2 linked regions of the Schizosaccharomyces pombe genome follow. The gene in region 2 interacts genetically with the main gene of each other region. Each region holds a gene or a part of one and is shown on either strand. Other genes may lie near its edges.

Region 1 (4,302 bases), on a different chromosome or scaffold from region 2:
TCTACCAATTGAATATTCCTCTTTTACTGTTTTTTGTACCAAACTGTTGATAAATCTTTCAGCATTTATTTAGTTTCCTTCCTTTAGGAAGTTTCAAAATACAGTAAAATATTTAGTAGTGACTCCTCATATATTGAATTAACAAGTCTCTGTCTTACTTTTAAATGTTTGTAGTCAATTTTATTATTATCTATTTTTTAAAAAACCGGGAGCTTTTAAAACAATCTATCATTTAATGTTCATCATTAGCACAACGATCTTGGACTATTTTTCATTCAACTTGTGATTCCCAATTGTACGTATATATCAATTTAAAGCAATGTTGTATTTAATCGTTTTCATGCTTACATTCTTTCGTTTCGTGTCTTTACGTGAATGCACATCGATCTCAGATTGAGCCAACTAAGCCTGTTCATCCATTCGACCGGTTGCATTTATCTAAAAAAGTTTAGAGATAACAAATTATTCATTTACCCGTTTACATAGCTCCATCAAACGTAAAGGGTTTAACTGAGCAGTCTCACGAATGAGGAAAATCCTTAGTTCTCTTTCATAACGAATTCGTAACCAAGTACAATAAAGGTAAATCTATCTATTCTAAATTTCTCACATGCCTGAGAATCCATTGAAACAACATCAATGGAATCTTTTTACGGATTTTCTTTCGCTTCGAAAATCGAGTCCCACCAATGTTTATGAGTGGGAGTGGCTGATGCTACCTAGAACAAAAGTTAGCGATGAAAAAAAAAATAGTTTAATCAACGTGAATTTTTGAGAACATACAGATGAAGATGTTGTACTAGAGGCTGTACCCGAGGTTGTGCCTGACGGTGCACGAGATGTTGTCGCAGCAGACATTACGGTAGGATCATATACAGAAGCCGTACTAGTTGCAAGAGTTCCGTCCCAACAGTATTCTTGGAAACAAGAAGAGCACTGGGTAGGAGTACTCAATTTCTTGCGTTCCAAAGAGCGTTGAATTATAGCGCATGCTAAGCAAACTGCAAAAGATTCATTATTGTTTTGCGTAGTCGACATAAATGCATTCTCAAGAATTCCATTAGCCATCTTGTCGTCCATGCTCATAGTAAATGTCGATATATTGGAATAATAAGTCCAAGGGTAATTTGGAAAGTATACAAGGAGAGGTGGGGTATTATTGTCTACATCATGATTTCCTGCTGTAGTATTTTTACCGTCACATCCAAAAAACGTAGGACGAGTGTTTAGTCCCAAAGAGATAATAGTGTTTTCGTCCGGAATATATGGAAATCCACGCACATCAACACTCTTGTTCGCATTAAAGGTTACAACTCTCTCATATGTAGCAACAATGGAAGATCCAAGGGGCCAACCATAAGGATCATTATAAGTCGAATCAATCGCAAATACAACGTCCACAAATCGTTGTGGGTGTAACAAAGGCCAAAGGGGAATGTTTTCCCTATCCTCACCACCATCAACTAGATCAATAGTATCATACGGTTCGAACGCATTCACTACAGAGGTATTGGAAGTAGTATAATTTTGGTAAGGATTGGGATAAGGAGCAATATCATCTTGATGCTTAGAAAGATCTTCAAGAATCGCATGAAGAATATCGTAATAGGTATCATTCTTTTTGACATTTTCATTCCAGTCAAGAAGAAAAGAGTTGAATAAAGTAGCTGAAGTGCCCATAACAAAACCTGCATTATCATAGTTATGAATGCAAGACTTATCGGGTGGAACCCCATCCAACAAGTGAGTTCCCACATATTCCATTGGAATGAATGCTTTAATTCCATTGTCCCATGTACCAAATTCATACGCCGTGAACTCAAAGATACTGGTATTGGCAGGGATGGCCGTTTCTTCTTCTAATCGGCTATCCGCAACGATGATGGGATAAGGATAATCAGCATTTTGAAACCAGCTTTGATTTCTCATACTGGAATATGTAATGCCTGGTCCTCCCCTTTCAGCATCAACAAGTTTACGGGACAAAGCACGTCCCCATAAATCCGTCAAAGAACAGTCAAAGCCCGCATGTTTCTTTTGATCAATTTCTTTGCGCAAGTCATTATAATAATTCAAATTTTCAATGACATTATCCCCATGAGGAGCAAAAACGCTATGTTCCAAATTCCAGACATTATCACGTAAGTATGTTATATTCGTAAAATTATTAATAGCCACTGATCCAACAAGCCATGAACCACCAGAAAGACCGCTGATATACATCGCGGATTGCAGCAGACCAGAAAGTGGAGAGTCACTCTCGAATCTTGAGTCAAAAGCATTGAATGCACCACCTCCATTAACCATCGCCCGTAACCCACCACCTGAGAATGCAATTCCTAAACGTGGACCATCCGAGCTGTTAACCACCTTATCCAAGTCAACATTCAAACCTGTCTTAGAAATAAATGATCGGAGTTCACTGTTAACCTTAGAAATACGTTTGTTGATATAGCTCTGTTCGCCCTCATTTAAACCTTCAGAAGCCGGCCTCAACAGATTGTCGTTTGAACAGGTCACATTGAAAGGGGCATACGAAGCGTCGGTACTTCGTTTTACGAGCGCAGGTTTCCTTTTAGACAAAGTGTAAAGTACGGATGTATCAATATCTTGTCCTTTATACGAACTAGATTCTTCAAAATCATATATTTCAGAAATCTCCACACGACCGGGAGGATAAGCTAACGTCAACGAAATTTGAACGAAAGCAAAGAGTCCAATATAGTTGACATACATTGCAGAAAATAAAAAAAGTTCAAACAAAAGCTGTAAAAATTGAAGTTCGCATGGAAAAGTGTACTACACGGAAGAATATTAAATCATATATTACTCTGGCGCACTACACATCTCTGATCCGGAAGAAAGAATTCCGAACTTTAAAAGCCCCAAAATTTGTCGCGTTATCTCAAGATCTGTCTACAAAAGTGATCTTAAATACGAAACAATGCTTGCTGCAAAATTCGCAAACGTTAGGCGGATACAATTTAGTACGGCAAGCTTTTACTTTATGATCAATGTTACCTTAAATTTCTATTGAGTAACAAATGTTACAAGATATGTATGCGAACAATAATACCAGAAGCTGATCGCTCATCATCGAATGGAGTTAATTACTTCGCTTATACAAAATAGTTTGTTAGTATTACGATGCATAATCTGAAATGGGAGCGTGTAAGGGAATGATCTGATGATCACGTATTGATTATAAATATAAGTAGGAGGATGATAGTAGGGACATTCGATGTATGGTGAGAGGCAACGTAATCTAGTGTACTAGCGCGGATACACGAAAAAGAAAACGCCAATAAAATGCATAGCGAATTCATGATTCCACGTTTAACACATTGCATGCATTTCAACTAGCTTAAGTTATTTTGATCTTCATATACTAGGGAGAAATAAGTTTTGTATTTTCGAGTAGTCTTTGTTCATAAATCCTCGCTATTATCACAATTATTCGACTTTCATACATGTAAATATCTTTTCGCTTGACCTCGAGAAAACAAATTTGTTTGTTATTTTTTGCAACATTTGACATTATTTTATGATATGTCAATAGTAGTTTTAATTGCTCGAACGTACATTTGTACTTTTTGTCACACCTGCTTAAGTTGTACATCGCGGTAATTTCTTATTATTAAAGGCCATTAACCTGATTGTCTCTTTAGATCTCTCTTGAATTGTTTGTTTTACTGTATCTTTCCGAAACAGTACATAAGGTTGTAACTTTTCCACACTAATTTCCTAATCATCGTTATGCACAAAACATTTAGCTGAACAAAGTTTGATAGTTTTTGTATGGCAGCTTGTGATGCCTTTTTATTTGTTCTACTTTTTCTTCAAGTTGGAGATAAAAGAGCACTTTTTAGTGATCAATTATGCTTTAGGCTTATAGGTCGTATTTCATTTCCACGATCAATAATTACTTGCTCATTTACCCACATCAAATCTACATCGTGTGCATTGTATTTATATTCTCTACTCATGACTACCAACTATAAGCATTGAACAAGAATATGCTGTTTCTAATATTTGTCATTGTAGCCAACGTCGTTTTGGACTTGTTTCAAAATGATAGTGCTAATAATTGCATTTATATTTAATCATTTTTGGATTCATTTTTTTCTCATTTGCTTGATTAAAAAATTAACATTATTGTTGAATATTCTTTTACTGCTAATCGCCGTTTAGTATCGCTTTTATACTGCCGTTCTGCTTCTCGACATTATGCGACATAAACTTAACTTTTACAGAAATATTAATCTCACGAATTATCTACTCATACTATATTCCTATATTGGT
Region 2 (3,107 bases):
GCAAGAGGAATATTCAGACGATCAGCTAAACGGTAGACTTTGAGCCGTAAAGCCTTAAAATTGGGAAGCCAGCGCCTTTGCTTTGATTTTTCCTCAACACTTTCCATCCGACCTCAAGGAGAGTGGTCTGTAGTCAATGAGGAGAAAACTAAATTAAAGCCAAGAGTCAAATGCAGAGGGACGGCCCTAAACAAATGAAGATATAATTTATATAGGCTTTCTAAATGTAAGATATGTGGGGATTATGTGTTGGAAAAGGTACGGATAAGAGGATGTTACAAATACCGAGAACACAAAAATCTATCAACGATGCCCCAACCGAATAGTAAAACGATGTGCTTGTAAATAACGTGAAATGAAAAATAAAATAAAATAAAAAGATGATATAAAATGAAAATAAAAGGCGTGTACCAATATTTGATGGGATAATATGGAGACGCAACGAAAATGTAAAATAAAAAGAACGCCCTTTTTCTGAGACTAAGATAACAAAGGAAGCTTTATGTGCAGCCTCCTAGTACTAAGAAAAGAGTAAGCGTCGAAAAGAGGATTTTTCGAAAAAATTTACTTGGCGTATAATAAAAACGCTCTCAACCTATTTTTTACAGCAGAATCAAAGAATTGAAACGAATTTTGTAAAAACTGTGTTGGGTTGTGGTCAGACTTTCGCAACCCTTCAAAGTAACACCTATGCTTCGTTAAGTAACATAGAGTTGCAAAACAACTTGCTCATTCCTATCCCGTTATTCCAAAATATCAACGTCATGGTTGCATTGTTTTCTTTTGAAGTAGCAAAATCCGTTTACTTACTAACTGCTAAATACTTACGCGTTCCCATTGAACCAAGAGTTTTAGGACAAGAAAAGGTTTGCACTATTGGCGCACTCTTTACAGCCGAAAACATTACATTCGGCTTGAATTTTTCGATTTTATTTTGTATAATGCAGATGAATGTAGATGGTTTAAACGCCATAAGAAACTGTATATACGTTCTCGTTAACTGACCGATAGCGGTAATGTAGTGGCGCAGACGTGGCTGCCGTTGCAAATCGGTAAAAGAACAGTAGTATTCATTTGCTAAATAGCAAGCAAATTGTTGCTTAGAGCATAGTAATAGATTATTACGGTTGTTATTAGTGAACTTGCTTCACTTAAGATTAGCGCATGGCTAGTTAAATGATAGTGGGTGCGAGTTTTACGTGACTGAATGCTCTCCTATGATTTTAATGAAATCGAATTTGTTGCTATCCATCATTGTTACATTTTACTAGATCTTTTAAATTCACGGAAACATAAAATCACGTGTAGATAATTGCTGGTGGATGCGAATGTGCGGTTAAGATGAAACTGTAAACAATCCGCGAATCTAGGTTTGATCTTTTAAGATGAATTTCGAAATCAAGTCTTTAATGTACAGAGTATTTGACAATTTCAACATTATAAAATGTTACCAGCATAAACAAAACATTACCGAAACGCAAAGAGACCAACGTATAATTAGTTCCAAAAAGTAAACAAAGAGAATGTGTAGGCCGAATGAAATTGGTGCTCAGTGCATCAACAAATGGTCGCCCTAATACATCCGTATGTTGAGACAAACCCAATTTGGAGAAACAACAATGGACCTTTATCCGTTAAAACATGGTAACAAATAAAAATTAAATGGCGACTAATGTAGCGTTCACGTGACTCTCAATGAAAAGCGCGAAAATTATTCAGTCAAACCGTGACTATTCAAGCCACTCTTTTCCCAGTTGTCGCGGTGACTTGTCCATCTAGTACTGGCTGTGCAGTTCCTTCTCGGGAAAAGAGAGTTGCTAACATATGGGTTCAATAAATCAATGAAATTTATTAGAAAACTGTCATTTCACACTGGCAATAAAAAAATTGTGACGATAAGCAATTTTCCTAGTACTAGAGAATAATTTTCGCGACTAACGCGTAAACAATTCCAAAGGCATAACGACAATGTTTGCATACAATCACAAAACATTGCATGTATGTCTGCGTCTCATTTCGTTGAGGAATTGCTCCAACACATGGACATTTGTACCATATGCGAACTCAAATAGGGGGTTAAATATCAATCAGCAATTAAAGCTTTTGTATTTAAAAATTTGGTTCAAAGATTTTATTAGAAAATACAATGACTAATCTAGTTTGCAGCAATCGCCGTTCCAAAATTGCTTTGAGTTCTTTTATAATTCCCACCTCTGTTGACATGTAGTTAACAAACATACTCTAAACTTATAGCTTGGTTAAAGTTGCTGGATTCCAACGATACATCGTAAATGTTGAATTTAGCAACGTGCAATCCTACTTTAGGTATTATAATTATATTTCACTATATTTTGTTACACATTCGAAAGTCCCGTTAAATAGGTTACCGAATTCAATGATACCTTATACAGTTTTTGCACATTTTGACATTGTCCCGTATACTACTTATAGTATTTTAACGAAATATCGTTGTGCACAAGATAAGGAACGTGAGATAGTTGGGCTTATCAACGCAAGTCAAAGCAAACTTCGCTACAAATTTTGCGGGCTGCGCAATTAGCGCTCTTCTTACTGGTGGAAGAGTGAAAAAAAAACCGGCGCCTTTTTTTAATTGAGCGAATTCTTGACAAACGCATCCCGTTCTCTAGCAACCTAAAAATTTCTTCTTGAAGGTTTTCAATTCTCTCTTTCTAATTCCTTTTAATCTTATGTTTTAGAAAGCCTTTAGTTGTATATTTTACTTTTTTTTTTCTTTCAAAACACTGAATTTTCAGCATTCTCAAGTTTGTTGAGAATATTATACTTTGGTTTCTCGGTATCCGCGTTGCGCCAAAGGCTATTTCTTCGTCCAACCAAGTTGCTTCCTTTTTGATTTATTTCATCGAGTCTTTACACATTTATATTTGGCGGGTTTCTCACTCCTTCTGCTCACGCACCCTTGTTTTTTGGTAACATCGTTTGCTTTCAAAAGTTTTTGTTTTTAAAAGTTCTGTACATTTGCATCTCCCTTTTCCCTCGTTAAAAAAAGAGATTTATTAGTTTGAGCATTGTTTTGTACATTCTCTAATTAATTGTAATATGCCATCCTGTACTTCATTCCCCATTGG

What was found.
Region 1: mutations in SPOM_SPAC24B11.14 (region 2) and SPOM_SPBC1348.10C together harm fitness more than expected from each alone (negative genetic interaction), as found in Schizosaccharomyces pombe (one large-scale study listed by BioGRID).

What each region holds. Positions count from the first base shown.
Region 1 is NC_003423.3:25,637-29,938, forward strand, and holds SPOM_SPBC1348.10C (phospholipase), read right to left. Parts: upstream 2,737-4,302; coding exon 784-2,736; intron 720-783; coding exon 651-719; 3' UTR 519-650; downstream 1-518. UniProt on the Schizosaccharomyces pombe protein: Catalyzes the release of fatty acids from lysophospholipids.
Region 2 is NC_003424.3:228,577-231,683, forward strand, and holds SPOM_SPAC24B11.14 (uncharacterized protein), read left to right. Parts: upstream 1-1,968; coding exon 1,969-2,105; exon of another isoform or gene 2,106-2,166; coding exon 2,167-2,223; exon of another isoform or gene 2,224-2,253; coding exon 2,254-2,560; downstream 2,561-3,107. Other genes in the region: dnf2 (phospholipid-transporting ATPase), read right to left, coding at 1-107; hem3 (hydroxymethylbilane synthase), read left to right, coding at 3,079-3,107.